2 linked regions of the Daphnia pulex genome follow. The protein of the gene in region 2 purifies or fractionates together with the protein of the main gene of each other region. This does not show direct contact. Links are inferred from orthologs where the notes say so. Each region holds a gene or a part of one and is shown on either strand. Other genes may lie near its edges.

Evidence for each region.
Region 1: the proteins of ATP-citrate synthase-like (region 2) and stress-induced-phosphoprotein 1-like fractionate together in Homo sapiens (co-fractionation; 3 studies listed by BioGRID, with this or other methods). This does not show direct contact. The link is inferred for Daphnia pulex from reciprocal best matches to the Homo sapiens genes ACLY and STIP1.

What each region holds. Positions count from the first base shown.
Region 1 is NC_060024.1:9,161,335-9,165,830, reverse strand, and holds stress-induced-phosphoprotein 1-like, read right to left. Parts: upstream 3,038-4,496; 5' UTR 2,828-3,037; coding exon 2,816-2,827; intron 2,740-2,815; coding exon 2,166-2,739; intron 2,109-2,165; coding exon 1,975-2,108; intron 1,919-1,974; coding exon 1,649-1,918; intron 1,593-1,648; coding exon 1,415-1,592; intron 1,341-1,414; coding exon 1,179-1,340; intron 1,124-1,178; coding exon 1,020-1,123; intron 954-1,019; coding exon 790-953; intron 729-789; coding exon 656-728; 3' UTR 450-655; downstream 1-449. Other genes in the region: endonuclease G, mitochondrial-like, read left to right, coding at 1-8, 70-88, 164-449; thiamine transporter 1-like, read right to left, coding at 3,742-3,828, 3,885-4,026, 4,089-4,281, 4,347-4,474. UniProt on the Homo sapiens protein: Acts as a co-chaperone for HSP90AA1. Mediates the association of the molecular chaperones HSPA8/HSC70 and HSP90.
Region 2 is NC_060018.1:8,031,164-8,035,469, forward strand, and holds the start of ATP-citrate synthase-like, read right to left. Parts: upstream 3,030-4,306; 5' UTR 2,829-3,029; intron 2,219-2,828; exon of another isoform or gene 2,214-2,218; 5' UTR 2,200-2,213; coding exon 2,044-2,199; intron 1,890-2,043; coding exon 1,767-1,889; intron 1,652-1,766; coding exon 1,589-1,651; intron 1,519-1,588; coding exon 1,325-1,518; intron 1,222-1,324; coding exon 747-1,221; intron 302-746; coding exon 144-301; intron 70-143; coding exon 1-69. Other genes in the region: probable C-mannosyltransferase DPY19L1, read left to right, coding at 3,437-3,503, 3,586-3,703, 3,773-3,905, 3,969-4,241. UniProt on the Homo sapiens protein: Catalyzes the cleavage of citrate into oxaloacetate and acetyl-CoA, the latter serving as common substrate in multiple biochemical reactions in protein, carbohydrate and lipid metabolism.

The sequences.
Region 1 (4,496 bases), on a different chromosome or scaffold from region 2:
GTGCACAGGTAATTAACATTGCTCAAACATTTCTTTATGGAATCAATCTGATGACAAATTTGTTTTTAGGACCACTCTACCTGCCCAGGTAGATGATTATTACATGAATGCTTACTCAAACAAATGGAAATAATAATTATCATTGTATATTTTCTTAACTTAGGAAGGAAGATGATGGCAAAATGTATGTAAAATATCAGGTAATTGGCAAGAATCATGTTGCAGTGCCTACCCATTTCTTCAAAGTCGTAGTCATAGAAAATCAGAAACAAGAGCTTTCTTTGGAATCCTATGTTATGCCAAATCAACCTATAGATGACAAAACTCCACTGTCTGTATTTCAAGTACCTCCAGAAACAGTAGAAAGAGCTGCTGGACTTTTATTTTTTGACAAACTGTCAATTGACAAGTTAAAAACTATAAATGGCAAAAGCCAAGTTTGGTTGTAATTTACAGTGCATACATGATAGTACTACAACCCATTATTTGAGAGCTTTGTGAAAAATAGTACAATCATGTAAAACAATTAAATTTTTCATTTCAAATATTCTTTTTCTTTTATATTTCATGAAAAAGAATACAAGAATTGACAATCATATCAATCAAAATTTTGACTCCACTTGATTTCTTAGAAAAGTAAGCATGGTACAATTAATTAATGAATGGAAATCAGTCCAGATTCAATCAGCTTCTGGATTTTAGTAGCAATCGCAGGATTTTTTAGATGGCTAAATTGAATAAACAATTTGTTAATATTTGCATCACTCTTAACATACATACGCTACTTACTCTTGCAGAGCACGAGGTTCATTCTGCATTTGTTCTAAAATCATACGCATGGCAGGGTCACGCAATATAGCTTGGACTTCTGGATCTGCCATTGCTCTTTTGCGCACTTCCTCAGGATTTGAGTTAGTTTGCATCATGCATGCGCGGTAGCCATCAAGCGCTTCCTAATATAAAAACACAAGAAAAAGTGAGTTGATTTTTCTTTAACCAACCAAAATAAATAAAACTACCGAGGCGTTTGGATCAAGCTCCATAGCTTTCTGAAAAGCGGTAGAAGCCTTACTATATTGCTGCATTCCCTGGAGAATCTTTCCTTTCCTAATCCATCCCTTAACTAAAAAGACATTAAAAAATATCAGACTGCGCTATAGACCAAAACATTTTCTTACCAAATGATGGTTCAAGCTCTAAACAGACATCACAATCTTTCAAACCTAAATCAAAAGCTGCCAGCTTTGTATAGCAGGCAGCACGATTACTGTAAACTTTAGCGTCGCCAGGGTTACGCTTTATCGCCTCCGAGTAACATTTTAATGCATCAGCGTATTGACCTATGTAAGGAAGTTCAAGAGAACAAATAATAAATTAACTGAGTTTACTTTCTCCTTCCGGAAAAGAGATTTACCTTTACGAAAAAATTCATTTCCTTTCTCCTTTTCTTGCTCTGCAATTTCCGGATTGATGTATGCCTTGCGTTGTTCCTCACGAAGCAAACTTTCCACTTCAGATAGCAATGTTTTTGTCTCTGGCGAGCGGAACTCTGAGAGTGATTTTTCGAAATGTAATTTTGCATTTGCCAAGTCCTTAAAGAGAGTGTTTTAAATAGACGTACAGTAATAGTTTGAATAATGTCAAATACCTTTAGCTTTTTATACGAGTTGCCAATTCGCGTATAAGCTTTGGCAATTAGCTTGAAGTCGGCCCTATTTTCTCTGCCAATGTCAATTGCTTGTTTACAAAGTTCCACACATTTTTCGTAATCCTTTTGTTCAAAATAAACAGCAGCCAAATTCGTGACATAAGTCATGTCAGTTGGATCTAGCTCTACAGCCTTGTTGTAGTGTTCTATTGCAGCAGCAAAATTTTTCTTCTTATAAGCTGCATTTCCCTTTTCTTTTTCATCAAGAGCCTATTAAATATAATTGTTGTTATCATAACTGAGAAAATCACACATGTTAGGCATACCTTTTTCTTCTCTTCTGGTAGAGCATCATATTTGGCTTTTTCCTCCCTCTTTCTCTCTTCTTCCTCCCTTTTTTTCTTCTCTTCTTTCGGATCAAGTGGTGGTGAAGGTTCTGTGGTATCCATTGGTTCATCTCCTGAGAAACATCTCCTTTTCAGTTACTATTGTCCACTACTTTGTTTTCACATAATACCTTCATTTGAAGCCTCCAAATCCACTCCTAGCAAGACACTGAGGGTGGCCAAAACTCTTGGATCACCCAATTTGGTGGCCATCGCACCTGGATTATTTTGAAGGTCTTGGATCAACTGTCGATAAGTTGGATCTTCAAACATTGCTTTTGTTTTTGGATTGTTCTGTAGTTTGTTCATGACATCTGGTCCAGCAAACGGATTCATGAGTTTTGCTCCTTGTGATCCAACCTTGTTCTTCACTTCAAGAAGACCTTCTTTAAGTTGTTCATTGTTTGGGTCATACTTGAGTCCTTCCTCATAGGCTTTTTGAGCTTCAACATCACGGCCAAGATAAGCCAATGCAGCACCTTTTCGTGAATGACCCTTACCCCAATCAGGCTTTAATGAAACAGTCTTCTCAGCATCCTGTAAAGCTTCCAGGTACTTTCCAGCTTTCGCATATGCAGCTGACCGATTGCTGTACAGAACATGATTTTCTGGGTCTATAGCCAATGCTTCTGAGTAAAGGGCTACAGCTTCATCTAATTTACCAGCCGACAAGGCCGCATTTCCTTGATCTTTCAATTGAGTTGCCTAAATTTATAGAACAAATGTAATGATCAAAAACCCTAGTTCTTTCAGTTTTATAGTACAATACTAATTTCCATACCTTGTTTGCCATGATAAAACAAGACAATCGCGATCAGAAGGTACGGATGAAACGTTGATGTAAATTCACACGCCTGCACACTGTCAATGAAACGTTTCCAAGTGGGGAATGATTTCGATACTGAGAGCGAGGGACACGAGAAACTTCGCGAAAAGGCTTACACACGATACAGACGACGGAAGGTTCTGGATTTCTGTCCGCCGAAATTCAAAGCTTACTAGAACTACGGCCAGAGCAGCAGAGCTTACAATAATAGTAGCGGTAGATTATGGAACCATTAATAGCCACTTTGTGCAATTAAAAATACATATCAGTGAAGCGTGGATAATTTAATGTATACATTTATTTTCCGTTTGAAACTAATGTGAAAGGCAATTATTTATTTCTTGCTTGAGACATTTATTCTTCTGCCTTCTAAAATGAGCAACTAAAGCCGCCATGAAAACAGACGTCATCTAGCGGCTAATGCTCTCCCTTCATTATTTTTTACGAATTTTTCAGCAAACGAAGAAATGCATTTTTTGAAATTTGAAATGAAACATCCTGTTGAAGAAAAAATTTGAAGCGTAGCTGTATGTTCGTTTATTATTTTTCTGTCTGCGCCTCCTCGGAGCTATTGCTTTAAGTCATCGATTTTTAGTTAATTTTAAAAACAAATACGATAATAATACAAATGCTTTTTTATTGCTTGGAGAAAAAAGGATAAATGCGGATAAATGCCATTTCTAATAAAAGAAGAAAATTTTAAAATAAAAACATTTGAATTTTTTATTAAATACTTTGTGCCAAACTTTTATTTTTTCACTGGTTCACTTTTTAGACTAGTAACATTGACATACCAACAATTTGTCTATCACTGGAAAGATGCGTAACGTTCATGAAGAACGAAATCATAAATACCGAGTGCGCTAGTTTTTCTAGCCAAATCAATTACTTCTACGTCCGGCATTATAGGCGGCCATGGAAATGAACACAACACCCAGGACAAAATAATAGCCTCCGTACACTTTAAACTACAAAATTTATTAATTAGATTCTTAAATTTCCAAGAAAAATTTTCTAATAATACCTGGTCCGGAGGTTCGAGCGCCAATCCAGCACTATCTGCTACAATCAAAGTTAGAATAGTTTGGAAAAACAGGGCGAGAAATGTGTTGATTCCAAACACCAGACCATAGCTTTCCTGTTTCAATCCTTTTGCTACTTCCGAACTATATTAAAAAAGCAACTGAATATTAGAATCCGAAAAGATCTCATACAATGAAATGCATACCTTGCAATTGTAATAAGAACACTATACGTTATGCAAAAGGCCATGTAAGTAACGTACGCTACCCACAGTTCATTAGAACTGCCAGCTAAGTATAACATGGCACCTTCAAATAATGATATCACAGCTATTACAGGTTCACCATACACTGACCAATTGACGGGCGCATAGCCAATAGCTATGGTAGCGAGAGCACCTATTAAAAAAAGCATGATTATAATTTCAATTTATGAATCATACACATTTCTTTATATCTTTTACTGAGGAACGTATGCGTGGCTTCTACAGCGCCGTTGTAAATATTGTTTGTTCCTGACGGAGCCACTGTTTCCCACAGAGGTTGGATGTAATTAAGTACTTGAAAGTAACCGCACATGGCAAACGCCCACCTATAGAAAGAAAAACAATGTA
Region 2 (4,306 bases):
GTCATGTGGGTTTCGGGGCCGAAAACATGGACGGGTATTCCCAAATTGGCTCCCACTTCTCGCATCACCCTGACCAAACAAACAGACAAAAACGTGTTATGTTTATTATACATCTATAATTTTTGTTGATTAAAAACAATTACCGAAGACCCTCCTGGTAGTTGGGTCCAGCTCGGCGGACAAAGATGGAAACCTTATGATCCACCAATTTGGTCTGGTACTGCAACAGAGCCTTAACGATGCCCTTAAACGTGGCCGCAACGTTAGTGAAATTAGCGATTCCGCCTCCAATGATCAGCACCTAAAAAAGTCAAGAGAAACCGGCACTATCAGGTTACCATCAATTCACACGAGACGTTCTTTAAGTCATTTAGGTCACATTTGAAATTCAGGGGTTTAAAAAAGATGATGCAATCCTCACGATCACGCCATGTGCGATTTATTAAAGAAAAAAAGATAACTCGATATCAGGTTTTAAAAGACACTAATCAGCGTATTATTTCGAATGTTGTCTTTTTGTAAAAGGACAACCACGAAACGACCTTTGAACTTTTTTCATTTCGAAAGGCCGAAATCAAAACGCTATTGAAATCGAGATTACTTCACCAAAAGTCCTGTGATAACAACGGAAACGGCGGTAATGTATATCCGCCGAGTCAGAATGACACATCAAAAGTACCCCGTGACTTTTTCCCCTAATTGTTGCAACCCCCAAAAATCAGTCAAAACTAACATTGGATCAATACCTTTCCGTCTGGATGTTTATCTTGGGTCATTAGACTGAGAATGGTTTTAGCATACTCGTAAGTTTGCTGCTCAGACGGGGCGCCCGAGTACTCGCCGTAATTAGCCAGTTCGGCAGCGCCGCCCAAATCGCAAATGGTGTCGGAATAAATGACCGAAGCGCCTCCACCGGCCACCATGGTCCAGATGCGTCCAGCCCTGTTCAAGATGGTCAACTTGAGCGAAGCGCCACTTTTCGAATCCAGGTCGGCGATATAGGCCTCCTCGGGATAGGCGTCGCGGCCGAACGGAGGCGGATATTCGATGCTTCCCCATTTGGTGCGACAGAGAAAATCGGCCGTGGCATCGATTTTGGCCGCCAAATCCAGCATGAAGACACCGCCTTCCGCCGTCACCACCAACGGGTTGATTTCCATGTAGGTGAAATGGAGATCGACGTAGACATCGTAGAGGGCAACGATATAGTCGGCCACTCGTCTGAAATGGTAATCGAAATTCAGCCAATCAACATTTGTCCTTTGACTGATAACAAAAGGGAGGAAACTTGGCAACTTGAAATTTTTCGACAAATTGAACCCACTCTTTTTTGGCATCGTCGCTGACGTTGACCAGCAAACCGCTCAATATATCCTCCCGGCTGGGTTTATTGTCGATTTCCACGGACAGGCGCAAAGCTTTTTCGTCCACGTCGCCAATATCCACGCCTCCTTGGTGGTGAAAGAGAATGACGTCGCCGTTGCGTTCAGAGTAAACGCAAACGTATGCCTCCTCCTCCTGTTTTTATTTTATAGACGCATTATAATTTCACAACATATTGAGCACGTTTCCTTATCTATATGCTTACGTCTTTGTGTGCAATAAACGGTTCGATAATGAAACGACGCAGTTTACCAGTTGCCTTGCCCACCTGAATAAATAGATTTAATTCAATTTATCAAACATTTCTGGCATTCCATAAAAAAAAATATTTAAACATAAAACAAACAAAAATACAAGATTAAATTTCAAAGAATCAAAATTACCTGGACGTCTTTATCTATCCTTTCATTAACCCATTCTTGGACTTGAGTAAAGTCCACATTGACCTTGATGAGACCCAATTTTCCACGTCGCTTTATGAGCTGATCCGGCTTCACCACCAGTTTCTGTACACGATTTAAAAGCATAAAAAAATAAAAATTTATTATCAATTCGGGCATTTCCTACTTGAGAATACTCGGAACGGGACGCAGGGACAAATGTCATTCATTCGAAGAACTGTTATTATATATTTTTCAAAAAAGGAAACTAATCACTCACCTCGGTTTCGAGCCAAGGTTCCTGCTGGACAAGTTGGCTCCATGAGACGCTTTGGTCATAGACAGCGAAACGACACTTGGCCACGCCGTTGGAGTAATTCAAATTCCGGTTAATCAAGTCCTTGCCCGTTGCTTCCCAAATGGCTCGGGCAGACATTCTGTATAGATAGTCTAGACTTCAAAAGGAAAAGAGGAAAGTTAATTTTGCCGAATCGCAACCGCGAACAAAGGTGAGAGTCTTCTAGGTATTGATCGGTTGTCGCCCACCCTTCTTTTTCCTACGCTCACGCAGACGTCAGATTCAGTCGGTACACCATCAAAGCAACGGTGTAACAACTGTAACAGATTCAGTTCTATTCTATCTCAAAAAGATCTTAAAAACTATAATTCAGTTTGATAATCTAAGAGAAAGATTTTCTGTTTTAAAAGACATACGGAAGTAGAAATCGTATGTTAAAGCCTAAACCTGTTTGACGAGAAAGAAACGATAACCTCGGGGCAGCTGGAGAAAGTTACCCTAACGGTGTACTGATTATACAGTGATGCTCTCAAATAACTGGGTGAACATTTAAAAAAAAAATCTAACTAGGCTATTGGAATTCTTTCTCATGCCCTATAATAGTTAACTTAGCACCCATAATATAAAAGGTTAATTTAATCCAATCAACGGAATCTGAATGATTCCGTTGCAAACGCAGTGACATGGTCCAGCAGACAATTTAAATATTCGCGGACAAAACTGAGATATGCACCAAAAACAGAATAAAAAAAGAAATTAGTACTTACGATTAAAATTGATGAAAATGAATCGGAATCTTCGTTAATAAATTCTAAAGAGTTAAAAGAAGTTAAAAGAAATGATTTCGTGGAATGTTGAGTGGAATTACGAGTGACACGTTCACTCGTGAGTCGTGAAAAGGTTTGACAGGAATACTGACTGTGCCACAGTGACTATGAGAACTTTGCATTACAGGAAAGGAAAATATAATTTCTCTACCTGAATCATGCATTACCGCCATCTAGTAAGTAAAACTGCAACTATAGTCACTTTTTCAATTGACGATAAATTTAATTAACATTCCCAAAAATGATGATTTCAATCGATAAGAATAGCATTACGTATCACACTTGCGTAATGAAAATTTAAAAAAACAAATCAGGAGTAATTTATTTCATGTTACTTACAATTCAAACAAAATTAGGCTAGCCATCTGTTATTCTTTTTTAGTACTGCCAAAAGTTTTAAGTGTTGCAACAGCGGCACAGACGACGGCGAGAAGATAGACAGCTGCCGCAAACCAGCTGACATTAACTAGTTTTTTTTTCTAAGCAATCAAAAACAAACAAGAAAAAACAAGCAACACGTGGTGAAATAATTCGGAATTTGAAGAATCATGAATGATGGAGCAACCTTACCAACAACCACCCATTATGCGCAGTACGCACTAATTGTGTCCATTGGTTAGTTATACTTCTCCCCTAAAAAATTTCCAACATATGTTTTAGTTGCTGACGTACAATTTCTCTCGTGTACTATATTTAGCGTTAGTGTGTAGCTGCCTCAATTTTTACCATGTATCTACAATGTTTGAAAATGATCGACACTTCTCACATCTCTCTACGCTTGAGAGGGAAATGACCTTCCGTTCTGAGATGGGCTTGTAAGATTTACTATTTTTATTCCTTGATTTTCTATCCCTATCATCAAATTATTTATTCTTTTTTTGCAGCTACTACTCGTATTACAAAAGGATTGTCAATGCACCGTCATTCTTCTTGGGACTTCACAGTATAATGAACGACAACAAAACAGAGTATCCGTCAACCATCAACACATTACAGAGATTTAATCTCTATCCCGAGGTACATGTGATATTTAAAAACTTGTTCATTTATCTTTCTAAATATTATTGGAAATCATTGCAGGTAATTTTAGGAGCTGCATATAGGGGTTTCATACACTTTACAAATACTGCCGGAATTAAAACTAAAGAATGTTGGCAAGTTGATCGCGGAGACGATCTACCAGCGGTTTGGAGCTGTGAAGGTTTAGGTGATCCTTCCTATTTTTACATTAATGGAGTGTGGCTCTGTGCAGGGATCACAGCCGCCCTAATTTTCCTTTACGGTTGCTACCTAAGTCGTTCAATATTTGGAGGCATCATTGCCATTTCTGCTTTCTTTTTTAATCACGTAGAGGTATAATTCTGAAAAGTACGACGTATGACATAACAAAATTACTTATGTAATTCTATGGTGAGACA